Mus musculus: one gene and its partners. The protein of the gene in region 3 purifies or fractionates together with the protein of the main gene of each other region. This does not show direct contact. Links are inferred from orthologs where the notes say so. Each region holds a gene or a part of one and is shown on either strand. Other genes may lie near its edges. The genes, in order: Ago1, Ago3, Tnrc6a and Cnot7.

Evidence for each region.
Region 1: the proteins of Tnrc6a (region 3) and Ago1 purify together in Homo sapiens (affinity purification with mass spectrometry; 10 studies listed by BioGRID and IntAct, with this or other methods). This does not show direct contact. The link is inferred for Mus musculus from reciprocal best matches to the Homo sapiens genes TNRC6A and AGO1.
Region 2: the proteins of Tnrc6a (region 3) and Ago3 purify together in Homo sapiens (affinity purification with mass spectrometry; 7 studies listed by BioGRID and IntAct, with this or other methods). This does not show direct contact. The link is inferred for Mus musculus from reciprocal best matches to the Homo sapiens genes TNRC6A and AGO3.
Region 4: the proteins of Tnrc6a (region 3) and Cnot7 purify together in Homo sapiens (affinity purification with western blotting; 3 studies listed by BioGRID and IntAct, with this or other methods). This does not show direct contact. The link is inferred for Mus musculus from reciprocal best matches to the Homo sapiens genes TNRC6A and CNOT7.

What each region holds. Positions count from the first base shown.
Region 1 is NC_000070.6:126,461,393-126,467,131, forward strand, and holds part of Ago1 (protein argonaute-1), read right to left. Parts: intron 2,464-5,739; coding exon 2,280-2,463; intron 414-2,279; coding exon 293-413; intron 1-292.
Region 2 is NC_000070.6:126,425,825-126,432,363, reverse strand, and holds the start of Ago3 (protein argonaute-3), read left to right. Parts: upstream 1-2,821; 5' UTR 2,822-3,077; coding exon 3,078-3,096; intron 3,097-6,539.
Region 3 is NC_000073.6:123,168,013-123,173,751, forward strand, and holds part of Tnrc6a (trinucleotide repeat-containing gene 6A protein), read left to right. Parts: intron 1-1,523; coding exon 1,524-4,106; intron 4,107-5,220; coding exon 5,221-5,397; intron 5,398-5,739.
Region 4 is NC_000074.6:40,504,310-40,510,048, reverse strand, and holds part of Cnot7 (CCR4-NOT transcription complex subunit 7), read left to right. Parts: coding exon 1-34; intron 35-2,400; coding exon 2,401-2,594; intron 2,595-5,739. UniProt on the Homo sapiens protein: Has 3'-5' poly(A) exoribonuclease activity for synthetic poly(A) RNA substrate. Its function seems to be partially redundant with that of CNOT8.

The DNA of each region.
Region 1 (5,739 bases), on a different chromosome or scaffold from region 3:
GAAAAAAAACCCAGAATAAAAACCCACACCCAATCTCCACAGATGATGCCCCAGTGCTTCTGGCCTCCTTAATCTAGAAGGAAATTCTTTGGGTCTTTCTATTTTATTTTATTTTATTTTTACGTCTAATCTAATCTCACTGTTTAGGGATAGGCACACAGTAAGCATCTACCCTGACTCATCATGCCCCAAAATATACTTTTCCACACAAAAGAAAAGAAGGCTCGCTGGACTCACAGACTCCAGGTGGGCTTCCCTGGGCTCACAGACCTAGCGCCATCCCTGGCCTTACCCTCTCATTGCCAATGGGCAGTGCTGTGACCGTGTAAATATTCTTCTTTCCATCATACACAGGCTTGCGATCCCCAAAGATCTGCGGTTTGAAATGCTGGACCATGTATTCCACCACCTCCCTGCAGAAGACAGGCGTGGCATGTGGAAGCTGAGAGTATCATGTCAGGCTTTTGCAAGCCCTTCAAAATCGAGGCACTGTCCCATGTATTATGCTGCTTTCTATTGTCTACTCCTCGGCAGTATGCCAAAAGCCTCAACATTCCTATCAACCGGCAGGTCTGATTAAAGTCATCTTCTGATTTGTAGTCTACAGTGTAGCTTAAAACCCACACTTCTCACAACCTAGGGTGACACTGTTGGCCCTCAGTTCACCAACACCCACAGAGACCTTCTGAGGGGGAAGCACCTGTTCTCAGGTCTATCCTGAACCTTCCACAACCTCTAATTCCCAGTCGGTCGAGCAAAAACAAAAGGAAAAAGAGCAAACGATCTGAGCTAGCCTAGAAATAATAAAATAAAGTGTAGAACAATCCCTCTCTCTGGGTCTCTAAACTCTTAGCAGTTTTCTCTCCATCATCACCTTGCTCTCATTCCCACACCTACGTTCTTCTGACACAGCCTCTAGGAATCCACAATGTCTCAATTTAAACTGCCTTGTGCCAGTGGCTCCACTCCTAGGACTTCTATCTTACAGATACATTCATGCATGGGTGAAAATATGTATCTTTATATAATACTTAACAGTTTCAATCTTGTTGCAAAGTTTAGACTCAACCTAAATATTCCACAATAGATCAAGAAAGTTATGCGGCCACCCCAAGGACTACCTAGGGCACTATGCAAAAGAATAAGGCAGATCTAAATAAACTAATATACGCTATTTTCCAATATATGTGGCTAAACAGAAAAAAATGGACAATATTGAACAAAGTATATAGTATTGTACATTAATATTATATGTGTTCATACATTACATATTGTATTGGCTGGTTTTGTGTGTCAACTTGACATAAGCTGGAGTTATCGCAGAGAAGGAAATGCCTCCATGAGATTCAGCTGTAAGGCATTTTCTCAATTAGTGATCAAGGGTGGGAGGGACCATTGTGGGTGGTGCCATCCCTGGGCTGGTAGTCCTGAGTTCTATAAGAGAACAGGCTGAGGAAGCCAGGAGAAGCAAGCCAGTAAGCAGCACCCCTCCGTGGCCTGTGCATCAGTTCCTGCTTTCTGACCTGCTTCAGTTCTAGTCCTGACTTCCTTGGTGATGAACAGCAATGTGGAAATGTAAGCTGAATAAACCCTTTCCTCCCCAACTTGTTTCTTGGTCGGGATGTTTGTGCAGGAATAGAAACCCTGACTATGACACGTATGTATACATAACATTAATGCACATATATTTTATTATATGTAATACTTGTACAAAATCAATGTGTATATGCATATACAATAATATGTAATAATGTAATATTATATGTGCTTGTTAAGAATATAATTAATAATTAATGATAATAGAAATTGATGATATATTACTATAGAATGTATTATATACTCATGACTATAATATTAATGTACATATATTAATGTATGCACGTACAGAAAAACATCTGAAAATACACTCAAGATTGTAGAAAAAAATGTTCAAGAACAATAATTTTTCACTGCTAATTCCTAGTTTTTAATTGTGAATATGACTTTCAAGTAATAATAAACCAATTTAATCTGCTTCTTATTCGACTAACCCCTCCAACTACACATTCCACAACATCCCCTGCAAGCAAGAACATCCATCCTGTTCTTATTCCCGCCATTTTGACCTTGCCTTTTAACTTCTTTCTCTACCAGCTCCTTTAGTAAGTCTCTAGTCTCTGTGCTCATGCACATCAGCAAATATTAGACTATGCTCCGTGCTACACTCCGTCTAGCCGGCATGCTTCCTCTTTTCCCTGTTTAATAAATTGGACTTGGTGCCACCTGCGGGCATCGCTTACCGGTTGACTCTGCGAGGACACTTATCCGGCTTGATGTCCACCTCGTAATGGTAAACGTCAATCTTAGGAATGTCCACCTCAAAGTAATTGGCCAGAAGCTTGATTGGTTTGCCCACAGTGCCAATGCCAGGCCGGCGGGGTGCCTGAAACACCTGCTGCAGGGGAGGCAGGTAGGCACCTGCCGCTGTGAAGACAAAGACGCCACTGAGGACAGAGTCTGGCAGTCTCCTACCGTGGTCAGACATGGCCCCTCAGACCAAGACCACTGGTCTCTTTCCAGTTTTCCTAACCCGGCAGGGGGCTTCCACTAGCTCAGACACTCACAGGCTCACTGGTTTTTCTGGTGGCTTATTTCTCTTTTATTTTTGTTTTAAACCTTTCTTCATTTAGGAAAATGTGTATCTGAAACCTCATCGAGTAAATGTGTAACGAGTTCCTATTGCATCAAGAAAAGTAGTTAAGTCTGTTTCCTAGTTTTACAAAACCTTTTCTTCCTTCTACACTAGACTGAGATAACTGTCTCTACCGGGCATCTGGCAGATGGAGAAGGTCCTATTCTGTGCTATGAGAGGCTTACTTCACTCATTACCATCCAGAGCACAAAATGGCACAGAACTTTGTGATTACACCCTCTGTTAATGTGGACAGGAGAATGACCCTAAGTAATCCAGGCTGGGAAGGGCAAGGCCGGTGCCTGAGAGAGGATTGAGACATGCAGTGGCTGGCTCTGGAGAGACATAAAGAAGAGAAGGGTTGAAGGACAGCATCTGCAGACTAAGAGGAGACTGCCAGGGTGGGAGAGAAGGTCGGATCTGGAGGACACAAGAGAAAACAGACAGGAAGGGGGTGGGGGAAAGGGTGCAGATAAGGCAAGGTAAGTTGGATTGGGGTACAGGGAAAAAACTATCAAGATGTAGAATGAAGAAACAGAAGGAAAGAAAAGCTCACATGAGGAAGAAAGCTGGAGGTTCTGGAAGGAGGAAGAGCAGTAAGAGGGGAGGCAGCAGGTCAGAAGGGGAATAAACAGCACTTTCCATTCTCCACAAATCTTTCCACACAGAGGGTCCAGACAGCAGAAAGGATCGATTCAGAACAGAAGGGGCCCTTGGGAAAGGCTAGCATAGGCCAGCTTTTCTCTCTCTCTCTCTCTCTCTCTCTCTCTCTCTCTCTCTCTCTCTCTCTGTGTGTGTGTGTGTGTGTGTGTGTGTGTGTGTGTGTGTGTTGACTAAGTGGGGCCTTTGTCCTCAGCTACTATTGTTCTTGCCTGCAGAAGACTAGCCCAGGTGGAAGAGGGATAAACTCAGAACCTCCCTTTACCAGAGCTCTGCTTTCATGGAAAGGACTGGGGGATGGGGCAGGGGTGGGAGGATACGGAGCATATCTTAGGGAGGGGGGTCAGGAAGAGCACCATTTTGTGGGAGGTGCACACTTTCCAAAGCTGAAGGACTTGACTCCCTCTAACCACCTGTCAAATCAGCCCCAGCCCCTTTCCACAGAGGAGCATGCAAGTCCAGCCCAAAGAACTCAGCGGCAAAGGAACTAAACTAGTCACACCTATCCCAGAAAGAGCTGAGCGGACACTGCGCACAAGCCCACTAACAAACACCCCTCTCACATCCTAGCTCTTTAAAGTTTACTGTTGCACATACACTCACCATCCTCAGCTCAGTGTTTCAAAAAGAGGACCATACTTGACCTAGTCACAGCTCAAGCTAATGCCGGGCACAAAGACAGGTACTTAGTATACCCATATGAAATGAATGACCAAGTCTACCCATAGGCACACCACAAGAGTACACAACTACACAACCACACTCGCAACGGTCCCGAACGAACAATCATAAACTCTGCATTGGAGAAGCACTTGCCCCCTTTCGGATAGATCTTTCCCTTTCCCAAGTTCTAGGATCCCATTCACCTTTTGCCTCCTAAACTGAAAAAAATCAGTTGAAATTCTGGGAGAAAGACATCCCTCTAGAACCAAGGGCAAAGCAGAAATTATAGGGTGTGAGTTGAGACAGACACTCCCCTCAGGGCGCTCTCCACCCCAGAAATGGACAGTACACCAGTGCCAGCCCAAGAGCACTCTCCTGTCCAGGATTCAGGGAAAACGGAGAACACATCTCCACTTCATCCCCAAACTAGGAAAGAAGGCATGAGGAAACAACTACCTCTCTGCCATTCTGTCCCCAGGAAAGCTGCACAGCTGTACAGTCTCTACTCCCCAACCTCGCCCTGCCCCCAGCTTTTAGTCTGAGAAAGGAAGACACTTCCCCTCAGACCCAGACAGGGACAGACGGCCACTTTGTGATGCAGATGAGGGCCCCAGCACAGAGGACAAAGCTCCAGCCTAGGGGGAAAGGGGCGGGGCCCTTCCCTGCAGACAAAAGCAAGAAGGGAGGGGCCCTGAAAATGACACTCCCCCTCCCCCATCCCCTACAAGCACTGAGAAGGAAAAGTAACCGAGCTCAAGGCCCAGGCTCAGGATTCCTCCCCAGCGACTCAGGGGCTCACACATCTTCTAAAGAAGCCAGCCGACTACTCAGAGGGCGTGTACCCTCGGTCAATCAGGTGGTGGGCAAGCAAGGACTGAGGCCGATCTCTCGAAAAATATCTGTCCACAAACATTAACCACCCACATGCATAGACACAAATTACAGAATAGGCACATGAGTTTAACCATATGCTCACACTTGAATGATCTGAGTCAATTAATAAACATGCTCTCTGTGTCAGGCCCTCCAGACGCCAAGCAACTGCTGCACTGTCACACAGATAAGTCGGACAGCACCTCTACCCTCAAGGCACTCTCAGGCCAGGCCATGCCCGAACACACCAGTTCACTGAAGGCACATCTGGACGTGAGCAACAGTGTTTTGAGTCTTCTCAGAATACTCCAGCACCTTCCAAAAGAACAGCAGTCCAGCCCCAGAAGGAAACAGCTATGGGGTCCCTCCATCAGAGTTCCCAGCCTGAATTTTAATTCCGTCTTTTGATGACGCCACTAGCATTTTCCCAATGATCCAGCTGACTCCAGTTCTCCAGCCCTTCACCTGGCAGCTTCCTTCTGTCCTGTAACAAACAAGCCCCCTTTCTTCATCACCCCAGAACCCATCAGACACTCGTCAGGATAAAACCATTAGCAATTCAGGACATAAGCTTTCGTCAGTCTGTCTGGACGTGGGTCCTACTCTATAGTCCCCGGGTTTGTTGGTAGTAGTTTCCAACCTAGAAAATAAGGATTTACACTCTACCTAACAAGGCTATCTGTGTTTGGGAAAATACAATCAGTACACATTACAGATCAGTTCCTCCTTGTGTGTGTGTGTGTGTGTATCCTCTAAATAGGAAAAGTAAGTTAGAGCTATTATCAGGTCAATGCTGCCCCACCCCCAACATCTTGCTTCTTTTTTCTTCTCTCTCTCCCTCTTCTCTCCCCTCTTTGGTTTTCTTTTTGTTG
Region 2 (6,539 bases), on a different chromosome or scaffold from region 3:
AAGTCATCCTTTATAAGACTTACATTAATGGGACTTATCCTTTGCATCGTAAGGACTAGGAAGGTTAGTTATGTCTGACAAGACAGAAGCAGGTAAGGACCTTTGGGTGGGTACCTTGGCTTATGGAGAGTAGTAGAGAGCCTTCAGCCTTGGCTCCATGTGTTCTTACAGCCCATGTTTTATATTGTGTTTGTTGCTGGTGATCCAAACACAAGTCATTCTAGAAACGACTGGTGGGGGCTGTCATTTTTTAGTGGTGTGTCTTCCCTAACACAGGAAGGAGACTACAGACACATGAAGGGCTGTAGAATAACAGTGGCAGTTGGGAAGAAAGTGAGTATTCTTAAATCCCTGAATCTCATTTGGAGGCCTCAAGGCCTTACCACACGTTACTGTAGGAAGTTTGAAATGCACTGAGCATTTGGTATTTTAATGTGCTTTGTCATGGCGACTCATGTATTCGTGTAACTATTTGATACCCTGGTATTTTTGTTGGGTGGTTCATGTAGTTTACTCCTTTTTAAATTTGGTTGTTTGTCTTAATGAGCTATGAAAGCATATAAAATTCAAGAAATAAGTTCTTTGTTGGAGATAATATGTGTATATATACACATATGTGTACATATATATGTAATTTTTCCTAACCCATGTCTTGCCTTTCGTTATGAATAGGAAAAAAACGTCCCATTTTTATGTCCAATTTATTAATGTAAAGTTAAATTTACTGTCTTTCTAACTTTTCTAGTTCATGCTTTTTTTAGTCGTATTTAAAGAAAATTTGCATTGTCTGGCTGAGGTGGCTGCTGGGATGCTCAGTGCACAGTGTTCACTGCTTCCTCTGCACCTGAGACTTTGTACTGTTTTATAGATCTTCCTTCTGAGAACCATCGATGCCATCAGGCATAAGCCACAGTTTTATCCTACTTCTTGAGCCCTATCCTTGAAAACAATCCAGCCAGCCAGCCAGCAAATAGTTAATGTGCTCTTACAGGACAGCAACAAGCATTGCTCTGGTACTGAAGGTGTGGCAGTTAACAAGATACACAAAACTTTATGTCCCCAAGATTAGGCTCATTTGGAAATCAGTTACCCCAAACAGTATTTGGCCAGGGGAAAGTCTCATACAACTTTTCATCGGCAAGAATCTCCTAGACCTTTTTGCCTCCCTACTTTAAATTTTAATTCATGAGTTTTTCATGTGGGTTTACCCTAAAACAGTAAAAGCAAAAGTAGATAGGAACCCATCACAGATATTTGTTGGATTTCACTGACTCTAAGGACGCAAATCTTCCTTCAGTGTTAAAAAAGGCAGCACCTTCGAAAAGATGAATCAGTGGTTATGATCACTGGCTGTTCTTCCAGAGAACCTAAGTGCTTCCCAGCACCCAGGATGGCTCACAACTGTTTGAACAGTTCTCAGGAATCTGCCACCCTCTTCTTGCCTCCAAGACACCAGAAGTGCAGAGACCAGACACCACCACACACATTTGAAAACAAATAAAAGCATGCTGTTTGTCACCACACCATGTTTTTCTGGAAGCTAGTTGAGCTTGCATTCATTCAAAGAACTAGTTCCAGAATCAAGAGATTGGGGGTAGGATAGGTCCTTCCACAAGTCTGAGATTTAGTTCTTATGGCTTAGGTCAATATGGATTGTATATAATCAGAGCTTGAACATGACTTTTAAGATGTGCTCATTCATCTGAGGATGTGATATTTTAAAAGTGATAAGAGTATTTCTTTTCAGTCAACAGGAAGAGAGGCAGAATTGGTGTGCTAGATGTGGCTTGGAGTCACTTCCATGTATTAAATGTTTATTATGTAGTCAGCATATTTATTAAGTACCTCAAAATTGTAACTATTGTAAATATTTTTGTTACTAACATTTGGGAGGTTTTTGTTTTTTGTTTTCCTTTCAGTTTTTCTGATGAGGAAACTAAAGTCCAAAGATAAAGTGACTAATCCAAAAACCCAAAACGGGGAGGGAAGGGATCGTGAAAATAAAATCTTTCTCAATTCTCTTTTTTAAAAAAGAAATATATGTCAAAACATTACTGGTTCATTGGGACACGGGGAAAAATACTGAATCATTGCTAAGCTTGCATGAAGTATCTGGTTTCACGAAGCCAAGTATTTTTAAAAGACGGACTATTTGCCGGATAATGAGCTGGGTCTAGTCTCCCAAAGGTTCCAAGTCAGCAGAAAAGCACCAGACTGGATCGGATCGGGGAAACTGGAGGCTGACCAATTTAGCTGTAAAAGTCTCGAGTCCCAAGGAAGAGAAGGTTTAGCAGGTGTTTAAACACCGGAAGGTCGTTTAGGTTCCTCAACGTATTGGGAGACTGTTTAAACATAAACGTAATTCCATCTGGTATACATGGAACATCCCGTTTCTTGTTCATCCGTTTAAAAACTATATTGAACTTGTGGTCACCGCCTAGTGCACGTGCTCCAAGCGGGTGTGGCAGACGGAGCTGGGAGGGAGGATGCCCTTGGCTGGTCACCCGCCACTCTCAGGTAGGATGTACCTCAGGTAAGCTCCGCGGGCAGGCAGCGATGTCGCCTCAAGCAGCGGTCCTCACCCGGGAGGCTGGCACGGGGAAAGCTGGCCTCTCGCTCGGGATTGTCGCCGTCAGGCACAGCGGGTGCAGGGCGACCGCCCATCCGCGGCTCCGCCCCAGCCAGGCACCGGCTCACCCGCCCACAGATCCCCAGACCTTGTTGCTCCCGCAAGGCTCTGGCTCCAGGCGAGCTGCCGACCCGGAGGGAGAGCGGGGCGGGATCCGGAGAGCGGAAGTGACGCGAGCGGGCTTCCGGGGGCGACCGGGAAAAGCGAGCGGCTGCGGCGGCGGGGCGGCTGGCGGGTCGGGAAGCTGCACGCGTCAGCATCTGTGGGCGACGCAAGTTCCGGACCTGGTTCCAGCGTCCTCACTCAGGACTGTCGCCGCTCTTACCTCGCTGCAGGCTGTCTGTCTCTCCCGACTGTGCCTCTTGTGCCCGGAGCTTTCCGAGGGCGTCCGCTCCTCGCCTCTGTGGTGGCACCCTTCTCTCGTGAAGCACTCCCCCCAGCTCCATGAATGGAAATCGGCTCCGCAGGTGAGGCGAGCTGCGGGACAGGGCAGGTGGGGTCGTTACCCCGATGTTGTCCCCTGAGCATCCTTGTTCCTTCCACTTCAGGTGCTGTCAGCGCACATAGTGAGGGAGTTGCGGGCTTTCAGGCCCGATGCGGGTGTCCTCTCCACAGCCCAGGGACCTACACTCTTGGGGTCATTGAGTTGGCGAAACTACAAGGAGGGCTTAAGTTTGGAGTTCTGTAGGTGATGACATCCCCCTAGAGTGCTTTCCCCTGAGAATGGAGAGAAGTTTGCCCTTGCTTTTGGAATTCTTGTTGGAAATATAAAGGGCGCGCTTGTCCTTTAACCGGGTCGTGTGTCCCATGGATGCAGAACAAGTCAGGCATAACCCTTATCTACCTATTAGTGTAGTTTGAGGATACTCTGAGATAATCAATGATTACGTTTCTAATTGGTGCTCGGGCGACGTCAGATGCAAGATGGCATTGCTCCCACCCCTGGTTCTCAGTGTCTGAGTGTGTAGTTTCTGAGGAGCTCGGAGATGTCCTGTCGCTCTGGACCACTGCTTACTAGAAGGCAGAGCTTCAGGATGCTGACACTATTTCCCCTCTATTTTCTATTCCCTGCACAGGAAATCTGGAATTTAGGATTTGTCTCTTGAGGAAAAAAAAAAAAAAAAAAAAAAGAGGTCTTGAGAAAGGAAGCCGGCCTGGATAGTGCTTGTCTTTAAAAAGGAAAAAGTAGTCAGCGATTCTAAAGTAGTTGATAGAGTAACATGAAATAGGTGTTACATAACGGCCTGCTGGCCCAGCAGTCACCCTGTTCTCCAGTTTGAAAGTTCTCTCCATCCACAAGATCAGTAATATATTGTTTTCATATATTTGGGGGATTGCCTTGTTATTATGTCCTAGCAAGTCACTGAATTTCATATCTCATCTTGCCAATTTGAAAGGTCCCCAAATATAAGAGAAAAAAAAAAACCCAAAACTAAAACTAGCAACATAGAAGGCCTTCAAATCAGTTCAGGGCATAATTGTCGAAGGGATACAAAAAGGCATTTCCTTTATTATGTGGAATTTCTTTCTACTCAGTGTCTACCATTTTTTCCCTTTCTATGTTCCATTTTTTTTCTCATATTTTCTTAACAGTGAAATATGTCTAGGCTGTGAAGTTTTGGACTCTTATTATCAATATGTGTGTTTCCAGACTGTATTTTCTATGCTTTAAAAGTTTACATTCTGTCTGTACTGCTTTTACTTTATAAGATAATCTGATTATTTCCAGCTCTCTGATTTTTACATAGCTACCCTGTTGCCAAGCCTGGAAAACTAAATATGACATTTAAGGTTGTGTTAATCATCTACCTAAAACTTTTGAAGAGCTTTCCCCCAAATTGAGTATTTTCCCTATTTGGGCTTTTTATGTGAAAATATTGACATGTGTTGATTATTTGTGATATAGGGCCAACTACTCAGTTGATACAATTAGCTAAGCCTGACTCAGTAAAATGTACCTTTTCTTTTTGGGTGTTGTTTTGATAAAATATAGAGCAGTTGATGTCTTCCCATCAGGGAAGGTATAGTTAAGATTTATTAACTAGTTTGGCAATGGTGGCTCACACCTCGGTCCCAACATTCAGGAGGCAGAGATGGTTCAATCTTTGTGAGTTGGAGGCCCGCCTGATTTACATAAAGAGTTCTAGGCCAGCTGGGGCTACTTAGTGAGACCTTGTCTAAACAAACAACAAAACAACCAAATTGTTGTTCATTGAATAAAAACAAACAAAACAGTTCTACCAGCCATGCTTGGCCATCTTGAAACATAGAATTTGTTCTTCAGTGAAGTTTATGTGTGACTGGCTGTTGTTTACTATCAGGCTCAAGGTTGTTACCATCAAAATGATTCTTTTGGTTGGGTGCAGCGACCCATGGCTTTAACCTCAACACCTGGGTTTCTGTGATTTAGAGGCCAGTCTAGTCTACATAGTGAGTTCTAGGCCAGCCAAAGCTACATAGTGAGACCCTTCGGAAGGAAGGAAGGAAAGAAAGAAGGAAGGAAGGAGAAACAGAGAGAAAAAGGGAGAGAGAGTTTTTTGTGTTGTTCTTGCGATTTTTATGTAATTGTTACAGTGAATGTGAAATTGAAACATACTTAGGAAAATAGACAACTAGGTTTTAAATTCAGATTTGACATTTTTTAGCTATGTGGGCTGGAGAGATGGCTCAGCAAGTAAGAGCACTTGCTGTTTCAGCAGAGGACCCGGGTTTGGTTCCTAGCACCATGTGGTAGCTCAAAACTATAACTTCAGTCCCAGGGGATCTGATGCCCTCTCCTGACCTCCAAGGGCATCAGGCATGCATATGGTGCACATACATATGTGCTGGTAAAACATTCATACACATAAAGCAATATAATAAATTTTAAATTTGAAAAAAATAGATATAGGTGCTTTCTAACAGTCTATTAGGTTAGTACTGAAATTTTGGTTCTCAAATTCTGTTTTCCTTTTAGTGCAATAGAGGATATAAAATATAATTATTATGTAATTATTTAGTGATGGAGCATTCCTTACTAGAAATATTTATTCTTTCTTTCCTATTTGCATGAAATATTACAAGGGTTATTTGTGAAACTAGGTCTCCTTGTGTAGATTAAAGCTGTATGCCATCATACCTAGCTCTATAAGGCATTTTTCAGTTGTCCTATACAGTCCACTAATTAGTACCACCTCAATTTCAATTTAACAACAAAAAAAAGGGAATAATTCATTTTAAATAATAATTTGGCATTTATGTTTATGATTCCTTGGGGGTAAATCTTATAAAACTTTTTTGGTCTAATTACAATTGAGTTAAATAAAATATATGGGCTATGCTTTATTTCTAAATAAAATGAGAACAGGAAAATCAGGCAATGTTCATGTAAACACTACCTATTTTTGAACCCTAGTACTCTAGTTTATATTTTTAGGTAAAGCCCAGCTGTTGTTCAGAAAGGAATTATACTTAAATGTAAATATTCTCTAATACTCTATGTGAAGATGGGCGTTTCAGTTATGGATTGCTTTCCTAGCGTACTACAAATTCCATCCCCAACATTGGAGGTGAAAAGGCTCATGGAGGGAAACCACTTATTTTTATCATAAATTACTACTATGTAAGTAGAGTTGTCGTGGCTGATAGTTTTATATAATCTTGCAAAAAGGTTTTACTTACTTTTACCTTATGAGTGTTTGACTACATGTATGTATCACTTATACCATGTGTGTGTCTGGTGCTCACAGAGGCCAGAAGAGGGCATTGACTCCCCTGGGACTGGAATTAGTGTAGTGAGCTGCCATTTGTGAGTGCTGGGAACCCAACCTTGGTCCTCTTGAAGAACAGGAAGTTCTCTAACTGCTGAACCATCTCTCCAGCCCTCTTAAGTTAAACTTTTAATTTTGTGTTAGAGCCCGGTATTTCTTTT
Region 3 (5,739 bases):
CATCTTGCTTCTCTCACTCAGTTTCTACAAGTTAACTTTTGTCCCTCGGTTTCTCACATACAAAGTGAGGGCAACACTTGTACTCTACAATGGTCCCAGGCACTTGCTGCAAGAGTTTGCAGACCTGCTGCTGTGTAGCAGTGAGTGCTAGCCGTGGATTGATATTGCCCTTGTATGTTGCAGTATAGAATTATTTCTTCCAGGAAGGCTGACTTTTTGGTTCTTTTTATCATGTGGATTCTACATAAGCAATAAAGAAGACAAATATCATCGACTACTTTTGGGGGGCATGGATGGACGGATGAACAGGGTTCTACTAATTAGTCCTTGCTTGCCTCTGAATCACAGATCTGCCTCCTGAGGGCTTGGATTCACGGTGTGACCAGAACCAGCTACTCACACTGTGATGAAATAATTGTAAAGGGAGTAGTAGTTGGTGCACTTTGCAGCACTTACTTAAATTATATTTACTGGATTTGTTACAGGTCAATCTCTAGTTGCTTTTCTTGCCATTATTACAGCTCTTCATCATTTGTTTCTTAGCATTTGTACTTTGAGAAAAAGTGAGACAAGCAGCAACATTTTTCCATACTAGCAAATCACACTAATAGTGTGACTTGGACTTATTTCCAGACCTTCATCCTGGGAACTATAGTGAAAGTCACACTTGAAGACAGCCTAAGTACAAATGTTTTATGTAGCCAATGTCACAGATGCATGTCTACCCACTGGACCCTTTAATGAGATAGATGGAGAAACTAACAAAAACACTGCGGGAAAGAATAGAAATAAAAACAGATGGTAGTTAGATGCCAATCTAAGGCTTGGTCATGTGATGGATGCCTATGGCCTTCAGTATCAGCTGCTGAATTACTGATCATAATTTGGTGATTTTCAGCATACCAATTTTTCTGTGTTGTCTCTTACTAAGCATGGCTATGAAAGTAAATTAGGAAATTGTTTAAAGTTAATGTTCTTCCTTATGTATAGCATGGTAATTAAGTGTATACACTAATAAACCAGAAATACAGTGCAAAGGCTTTGGGATCCTTACAGAATTCTTCTAACCCAAAGGAGTTGTGTGGAAAGCTGTTTTAGGAAACGGAATCATTTTGGGCTGCTTACGCTTACTTAGCTTTTTACATCCCAGTCTGTTTTCTCCCGTGTCAAGTCCTAAGCCTGGATTGCCCTAATTCATCATTACCACTCAGTCTTCTCTCCAGAATTCTTATATTTGTTGGATGTTGTCCGTTTATATATTTAGCAGGTCTCCCTGTGGGACTTTTTGTCCCATGCTGTACTGTAGGGTATTGAACAAAGCAGCAGAATTCTGCCTGTGAAATTACTGAACATGGAGCCTTGGTGGCTGAAAGATAATCAGCGCCTCACAGCCATTCTGCGGAGCATCTTGCTAATGTTGAGGAGCTACGTGTATTTCTAATGGATCGTCATTTTTCTCAGCCTACATACTATTTTGGAAATTGTTAACACTTATAAATAGATATACTTCTCCTTTATTCTAGATATAAATCATAATACTTCAGGATCCCATTATGAAAATTGCCAGCGGGGACCTGTGTCTTCTACAAGTGACTGTAGCACAAGCTGTAAGAATGCTGTAAACGACTTGTTGGAAAAAGAAGCATGGCCCTCAGCCCCTGGCAGTGATCCTGAGTTGGCTCCAGAATGTATAGATGCTGATTCTGCCTCCAATTCTGAGTCAGAGAGAAACATCACTGTCATGGCTTCAGGGAACACAGGTGGTGAGAAAGATGGCCTTCGGAACAGCACTGGACTTGGTTCTCAAAGCAAATTTGTGGTTGGTAGCAGCAGCAATAATGTGGGCCATGGAAGTAGTACTGGCCCATGGGGCTTTCCCCATGGAGCCCTAATAAGCACATGTCAGGTCTCTGTGGATGCTCCTGAAAGCAAACCAGAAAGTAGTAACAATAGGATGAATGCTTGGGGCACTGTAAGTTCTTCATCAAATGGAGGGTTAAATCCAAGCACTTTGAATTCAGCTAGCAACCATGGTGCCTGGCCAGTATTAGAAAACAATGGACTTGCCCTAAAAGGGCCTGTAGGGAGTGGGAGTTCTGGCATCAATATTCAGTGTAGTACCATAGGCCAGATGCCTAACAATCAGAATATCAACTCTAAAGTCAGTGGCTCTTCTACCCATGGTACCTGGGGTAGCCTTCAGGAAACTTGTGAGCCTGAAGTAAGTGGTACACAGAAGGTTTCATTCAGTGGTCAACCTCAGAATATCACCACTGAAACGACTGGACCAAATAACACTACTAACTTTATGACCTCTAGTTTACCAAACTCCGGTTCAGTACAAAATAATGAACTGCCTACTAGTAATCCAGGGGCCTGGCGTGTGAGCACAATGAATCATCCTCAGATACAGGCTCCGTCAGTTATGAATGGCACTTCCCTTTCTCACCTTAGTAATGGAGAGTCAAAAACTGGAGGCTCCTACGGTACTACATGGGGTGCCTATGGTTCTAATTACTCTGGCGACAAATGTGCAGGCCCTAATGGCCAAGCCAATGGTGACACTGTGAATGCAACTCTAATGCAGCCTGGCATAAATGGGCCTATGGGCACTAACTTTCAAGTTAATACAAATAAAGGGGGAGGTGTATGGGAGCCTGGGACAGTGAATTCCCAGAGTTCACCATGGGGAAGTGGAAATGGTGCAAATTCTGGAGGAAGTCGAAGAGGATGGGGAAGTCCTGCACAGAACACTGGCACTGGTCTATCCAGTGTCGAGTGGAACAAACTGCCTAGCAACCAGCATTCCAATGACAGTGCAAATGGCAATGGTAAGAAGCTTACAAATGGATGGAAATCTACTGAGGAAGACGATCAGGGTTCTGCCACATCTCAGACAAATGAGCAAAACAGTGTGTGGGCCAAAGCAGGAGGCACAGTGGAGAGTGATGGTAGTGCAGAGAGCACTGGACGCCTTGAAGAAAAAGTAACCGGGGAAAGTCAGAGTAGAGATAGAAGAAAAATTGATCAGCACACATTACTCCAAAGCATTGTAAACAGAACTGACTTAGATCCACGTGTCCTATCCAACTCTGGGTGGGGACAGACTCCTATTAAGCAGAATACTGCCTGGGATACAGAGACATCACCAAGAGGGGAAAGAAAGACTGACAATGGGACAGAGGCCTGGGGAAGCTCTGCAACACAGACTTTTAACTCAGGGGCATGTACAGATAAGACTAGCCCTAATAGTAATGATACCTCATCTGTATCAGGGTGGGGTGATCCCAAACCTACTCTGAGGTGGGGAGATTCCAAAGGCTCAAACTGCCAGGGGGGGTGGGAAGATGACTCTGCTGCTACAGGAATGATCAAGAGCAACCAGTGGGGGGGTTGCAAGGAAGACAAGTCTACATGGAATGATTCGCAAAAGAGCAAACAAGGCTGGGGTGACGGACAAAAGTCAAGCCAAGGTTGGTCCATTTCTGCCGGTGATAACTGGGGAGAATCTTCCAGGAGTAACCATTGGGGTGAGGCCAATAAGAAATCCAGCTCAGGAGGCAGTGACAGTGACAGGTCCATTTCTGGTTGGAACGAACTTGGGAAAACTAGTTCTTTTACTTGGGGAAATAATATAAATCCAAATAACTCATCGGGATGGGATGAATCTTCTAAACCGAACTCTTCCCAGGGGTGGGGAGACCCTCCAAAGTGTAATCAGTCTCTAGGTTGGGGAGATTCATCAAAGCCAGTTAGTTCTCCAGATTGGAACAAGCAACAAGACATTGTTGGATCATGGGGAATCCCACCAGCCACCAGCAAGCCTCCTGGTACAGGCTGGCTCGGGGGACCTATTCCTGCTCCAGCAAAGGAGGAAGAACCCACAGGCTGGGAGGAGCCATCCCCAGAATCTATACGAAGAAAAATGGAGATCGATGATGGAACTTCAGCTTGGGGAGATCCAAGCAAATACAACTACAAAAATGTGAACATGTGGAATAAAAACATCCCGGAAGCCAGCGGCCGCTCAGACCAGCAAGCGCAGATGCACCGGCTATTGCCAGCCGCAAGTGCCGTCTCAAGCAAGGAGACCAGCAGTGGCTCTGGTAAGCGTTCCCGTGTGGAGTGCAGAGGTATTGTGGAAGCAAGCTTTGTGTTGACATGCCTGTCATAAGATTTGTGTAACACGGCTCTTGGATATGCACATCAAGACCTTTCAGCTGTGACCTAGAGGTGACATTCACCTGGCAACAGCTCTGGTTTGTGGAGTCTTGCTCTGTTGTGTTAGGAATGTAGTAGAAGAGGTTAAGTGCAGACTTACACACTTAGGTATTCTTAGTCAAGCCTTAACAACGTGGTTTCACTACTGAAGTACAATAAAGCCAAATGCCTGAGGACCGTACTCTAGATATTTGGTATTATATTTGATCTTATGGGATTTTCTCACTGAGGCATGAAGTTAGTACCTCCTCAGTTAACTGGATAATGTGTGCACCTGAAGCATCGCACTGCTTTCTAGTATACTCTGACCTTTGCTCTCCTGTACTCAAAGTTTTTTCTCTGTAAATTGATAGGGCAACATTTTCTAAATGTGGCAGCCCTACATTGCCTTTGTTAACAGGAGTTTTATTGAATAATGCTCCATTGGTTAGAGAGCCGGTAATGTTTTCATGAATTCTTCTTTTAGTGCCTAATTGTGTGGGGGTTTTGTTTTGTTTTGTTTTGAAATATAAGCCTAGTCTATTGATTTATACTTATTTCTTAGGGAAAGTGTAGACCTTTTTTCCAATGTGTTAAAGGCAGGGTGGCTGTGTACCTGATGGTAGTCTTATAGTCAGCTGTTCTCCACTGCAGTGATGTGGGAAGAGCGTCCTTTCAGGACAGTGTAATTAGTGGAACTTTACACCGCACCTGCCTCAGCTCTCAAGCTTTGGTTCAGAAGAACCTGACATTTTTAGGAAAATAATTTGCTATAATGAAAAGAGTCTGCCCTAACACCAAGAAGGCAGTTTTGAAAGAAAAGGTTAAAACATTATACAATTATATTAATGCAGAATAATTTGTGTTCTCCACAAAATATGTCTCTTGGTTGTCACAGCATCATTTTTCAGTGTGTGATGTGAAATTCTTCATCTCATTTCCCAAGTCCTCTTCCTTGTCTTTAATTGAGGTGCTTCCTAATATCTATGCTGATGACTTCTTTTCCCATACTTTCTAAAGGCTGGGGTGAGCCTTGGGCAGAGCCTTCTACTCCAGCCACAACTGTGGATAATGGTACTTCAGCCTGGGGCAAGCCCATAGACAGTGGTCCCAGCTGGGGAGAACCCATTACTGCAGCATCCAATGCATCCACGTGGGGCTCCAGCTCTGTTGGTCCACAGTCATTAAGCAAATCTGGTAAGTCATCTGATGTTAGCGGTGCTGCTGATAACTCATAAGCTGCATTTAAGTGATGGCTAGTGCTCCTAACTTATCACCACTAATGTATTTCTCAAAAGTGACTACTAGTAATTTACACATCCTCCGCCAAATCTAAATTCTTTCTCTTGTTGGATTATTTAAAACTGAATTTAGCAGCTTTCATGCCATTCAGCTGGAGAGACTAGATAGTATAATGTGAGACACATGTCCAAACCATCAAATCTTACATGGGAAGGGCCCTGGAATGCACATGAATATTGTTCCTCTACCCTGTTGTGCTCAGGACAGACTGTAGGAGCCCCAAAGACTGTGTGTAGA
Region 4 (5,739 bases), on a different chromosome or scaffold from region 3:
TCAAGTTATCCGAAAATATAATTATGTTGCTATGGTATGGACATGACTAAAGCTTTTTAAAATGCCTTTTGTAAGGGTGAAGTGGGAAGTGTGTGAGTGAATAAGTACGTGTGTGTGTGTGTGTGTGTGTGTGTGTGTGTGTGTGTGTGTGTGTGTGTGTGTGTTTGGGGGGAGGGGTGCACTGACACGGGTCTTTTGGTGGCCTGAGACTTCCTGATTAAGCTACATTGACTGGCCAGGAAGCCCCAGGGATCCACCTGCCTCTGCTTTCCAAACATGTAAATTGCCAGCACATGGGCCATGCACCTTTTAAGCATAGATTCTTGAGTTTGAACTCCTTCTGGTCCACATGCTTGCATGCCAAGTGCTTTTACCAGATGAACTGTCCCCCTAAGCCCTGGAGTGGGCTGTTAAAACCATCAGGTAAAGCTGGGCGTGGTGGTGCACGCCTTTAATCCCAGCACCTGGGAGGCTGAGGCAGGTGGATTTCTGAGTTCGAGGCCAGCCTGGTCTACAGAGTGAGTTCCAGGACAGCCAGGGCTATACAGAGAAACCCTGTCTCAAAAAACCAAAACAAAAACCAAAAACCATCAGTTAAACCCTTCTCATTGATAGCTAAGGATTAATTTAATCATGAAAAAAGTGGACTATTTCTTTCATCGAAGGCTATCAGAAACAAAACTATTTTGACAAGTTGAGTTTTTACTGCTTGCATTAATCGGCAAGGGATTAGGAGTCAGGGACATTTGAGTGTAAGTGGCAGACATGCTTTAGGATTTAGTCTTGCTTCACCTGGGTTTAAGAGATTAAGGGAGGCAGGCTTCCCTGTGCTCTCAGGAAGCTATGGCATTCCTATGGGTTTTTACTGAGTCTGAGCTGCTTTGTGAGAAGGCAAGAGTAAGATACCAAGGCTGCAGATGGGAGGAGTCGCTCACTCAGCTAGGAGGAGAATGTTGTGTGGTTTAGACGTCTTTGGCATGGGGAGGAGGACATGGTTACAGAATGTACTTGTTGATGTACAATTTTGTGAAGCTGATTACGTTCAGTGGGAGGACTATAAAGCCTATCTAAGCATGTCAGCTCAGCTCTAAGCAATCCCAAGGCCGTGCTACTAGGTCCAAATAAGCTTTCAGACCAGTGAGTTCCTGGGTATCTTTTTAAAAAGAAGAAAGATAGAAAAACCAAAGTAGATCTTTTAGAAAAAAAAAAATTGCTAAAGCTCCAGAAACATACTTGATCATTAAACAGTCTGCTCTTATAAGTGGTATTCAGTCTGCCTAGCATGTTTGTATAATTAATTTTCTGCTTTGTTACTACATTTTGTGTATTTGTTATAGCTAGTCTATTTTCTTGGGTTTTTTTGTTTGTTTTTTTTCGAGACAGGGTTTCTCTTGAGACAGGGTTTTTCTCGAGACAGTGCGCCACCACGCCCAGTGCTAGTCTATTTTCTTGATCCACACAATTATTAGCCCTAGAAGGCGATATTTCAATGTCTTGCACCTCTATCCCTGGCCCACTTCACGTCTAGCTTAATTTTTATAGAATCCAGTAATTGGCTGGTGGTTGTATTAAATTCAGCAAATTTTAATTTCTTTGCTGTCATATTGACTTACTATTTTTTTCTTCCTCTTCCTCCTCCTCCTCTTTTTTGTTAGCCTTAATTTGAATGCTCATGCTAAACTAATACATAATTTTACTATCACAATTTAAAAAGAAATGCATCTCTGTGGATAAACAGGAATTTCTTTGTATAGCATACCATTCAGTAAGGTATGCTTGTCCATAATTAGAGCTGAAACTTTCTGTCTCGGCAGGGACCGTTATTTTTATGAGCAGCAGAAATTGTTAGTGGTCATTTATATCTCAGATAATAAGGAATAGCTGCATTACAGAAAGGACAGCTTACAAGAGAGAGTGTGACTGTACACAGAAAACACCTGTGCTAACTAAAGAAATGACATTAATGAGACTTTTTCTTTATTTTGGTGTCTCACTGCTTTGATTGGAAAGCACAGGGTACTTTTTAACTTTTAAATCAATCTTTCATGCGGGTTGAGTTTAGTAATGTAATGCTATAAGTGTAGTTTCATATGCCTACTCCTTAGGAATCAGTTTATGATTTTTCTTTTCCTTGGAAATAGCCCAAATATTTGCCTGAGTTTATTATGAGTTATCAGTACAGGATAGTAATTTATGGATAAATTTCAAGAAAAAGTAATTTAAGTTTATAGAATATTGAGGTCTGATAGGTAATGCTGTTCATGCTTATAAAATAAGCATTGAGTGTGAACATACAGAATTTCATTGTCATAGAATTCTCTGACTTGTATCAAAAATTTCCTGAGAGTTTATGGGTTGTATTTATGACCATTTAGTAAACAATTATCAATTATTTTACAGGACACCGAGTTTCCAGGCGTTGTTGCAAGACCCATTGGAGAATTCAGAAGCAATGCTGACTATCAGTACCAACTGTTGCGGTGTAATGTAGACTTGTTAAAGATAATCCAGCTCGGACTGACCTTTATGAATGAACAGGGAGAATACCCTCCAGGAACGTCAACTTGGCAGTTTAACTTTAAGTTTAATTTGACGTAAGTGGGAAGTAAATATATAACCTCAGTGTCCCTGGAAATGTACTAAATACAGAAATTCAAAAGTTTAGGCTTATTATTACGAGGCAGTTGTAATTGCTTCACAGTTAGAAAGATAATAAAAACTTTCTAATTTCAAAGACTTTAGTTATAGAGATGTTATTTTTAAAATATGATGGTCATTTTTATGGAAAGTTGTGAACCTGTATTTGTGTTGCTGTTTCTGTTGTGTTTGTCATTGTTTAAGGTGCTGCAGATTAAACCTGGGGCCCTAAGCATGACCCTTAGGGTATTGATTTGACTTTTACATTTTGCTGTTGTTTTGCTTTTTTGAGACAGTGTCTCATTACATAGCCTAGGCTGGCCTGGAACTCTCTATGTAGACAATGCTGGGCTCAAACTCCCAGAGATCCATCTGCTTCTGCCTCCCAAGTGCTGGGATTAAAAGGCTTGTGCCACCACACATAGAGCTTTCACATTTGTTTTTATGCCCAACTTGGAATACATATGATTGGGGTGGCGCTTTGCTGACTAAGCAAGCGGGTACCACTTAGCTACAACTCCAATCTACTGTGACTTGTTAAGATAGTTATTATTCCTGTGAAGAAACTATTATTACAGTCATACTTTGCATTCTAAATACTCACCACGTGTACTAAGATATTTCTTGGGAAATTGGGGCTATTTTCTTTTCAAATTCATTTTCTCTAAAGGGCTATTCCAATGCAATCCTCAACCTCTTAATCTACATACAGAAAATGTAATAGTATTGAAGCTTGCATATTTACCAAAACCTGATGTCTACCTCAAATCTTGGGTATAAACTATTTCTTTAGTTAAAATAGTTCTACATTAATTATTACAATCTTCATAGCTGAGGGAACTGCATGAAGGTGAGTCCATCCTTTTGACACAGCATCATTGGCAAAGTTTATGCTCAAGAACCATGCATTTGGATTTTTAAAATTTATATATACACACACACACACAATGTTTTAAGTAAGTTTGCCACATTTATAACCATTGTGGAGTTCATATGACTTCTGAGCTTCAGGATATAAGCGCCTAGTATGAGGCAGGGGCATATTACTGCTGTTCAGGTATGGAAATAAAATATATAGTATATTCTGTACTATGTTACAATATTGTGGTGCCCTTCTGCTTGGTAGCCTATATTTGTATAATATGATCAAACATCTGGTTTGAAAAATAGCAACAGAAAATGATAAGAAAATCAGTGCTAGTGTAAGAATTCTTACATGAGAATGAGAATTCTTTCTTCATTCCTATTTTTTGTTGAATATGTACAGTTTTATGTTAGACCTAATGAATAGCAGGACTGATGGTTTTAGAAGGCAGTAGTGTAAGCGATGCAGTTGTGTATCTTGAAAAATGTGTTGTTACTCCTCTAAATAATCCTGATAGTATTTTAACATCTAGTACTGTCCTGACAGTCCCTATAGACCCTAGAAAGGCTAACGTGCTCATCCCCACTGTCATTTCATAGTGCTTCATGAGTACTACAGCTTTGGAACAGGTGAAAATGTCCTCCCATGCTCTCCTCAAATGATTACTGTGTTCTTTAGTTTTTTCCTATTTTAACTTCTTCAGGGTTCTTTTTACCCCTCAAATTAATCATCATAGCATTGGGTGTTGTTTGGTTTTTTTGTTTTTGTTTTGTTTTTTTATATAAGATACTCAGTTTGTGACTGGGAGCTAATATCTCAGGGTATTAGTTGGTAAAGCTGGTAGTCTTCATTGCAAGGATGGTAATTTTTGTAGCAGTGGCTTTTCCATTATTCTCCAGGAACATTTGTTTTTTTCTTACTCAGACAAAACTAGTTTTACCGCCAATTTTGCTACTATTTCTACTAATGGTAACATCATAGGATGGTAAAGAAAAGAGTGCATTGGCTGGTGAGGTGGCTCAGTGCTTAAGTGCCTGCCATCATGGTGGATGATCTTAAGTATGATGCTCAGGACTCACATGGTGGGAGAGAACTGAATATGTGTCATATGATGGACATGTGCAGGCGCGCGCGCGCACACACACAATGAAAATTTTAGGCTAAAATTTTTAAGAACATAGTGAAAAATGTTAATGAGAACAAAAGCCTTTGAGAAGATAAAAGTAGTACTGCATAATGTGGGAAGCATCATAATAGCATCTTAGACGTGTTGAAGGATGGTGGAAATTGACCTTGTTGAATGCCTAGAAGGAGCGTGTTAGTGCACTAGGCTCTGCAGCACAGTGTTGGTGAACATTGTCCAACATCATAATAGCCTAGTGGTTTTCATCTCTCTGCCTGTTGTCTGTGCTTGCGAAAATTTTTGTGTTTAATTCTCACATTTGTCCAAGTCAGGGTTCTTTTAGGTTTGCCAGTGTTGTTTCAAGTTTTACCATTAGCATCAAGGGAGTAAGTGCAAAGCATTATTTATCAGGTGTAAATAGAAAGATTTGTGGAAAGATATGTATAGTTGCAGTGTGTGTTGCATTAAGCTTTGCATAGATTCTTGAGAGTAGCCCACTTATAAGAAATACCTACAATTGGAAGAACGCTCTTCAAGTCTTACTTAACATTCTCTGAATCTTGAAGGCATGACTTGTAATACCTAGATCAGTATTAGGTAACAAACATTTAGGAAAAAATAAATACTCTCTATGTAAAAATGTGTCTTTAGACATATTGGTATTTTGGTCACTGTAACTGTTGTACTTACTGTGGGCTTGAAAGCAAGCATGGTTATTAATGTGTGTTTTCAAGCTAAGACTTTGCTTTCTTTGCCCAGTGCTTGATAAACTCTGTAACAGAAAAAGAACATCACAGCCATAGTTAACGAGCACACTGGCTGCTATTGTGTCCTCTTCAGAGCTAAACTTGAGTGTTATGGAGTGAGCAAGCTGGATTATCCTCACCACTGACATAGCCTAAAACTGTTGGCTTGATGGACAGCATTTTCTAGTAGTGTTTTCTCACCTTCTCATTAGCTCCTCAGGTTAAAGGTGAGGTAAACACACTTGCGAGGTGTGGATTTACCCACAGGATTACTGTTAACATTGAAGTATATACATTTCAGACATAAAGAAAGAAAACTTGACTGTAACAGTGTTACACTGTGACTTTATAAAGCATATTTGCTGACA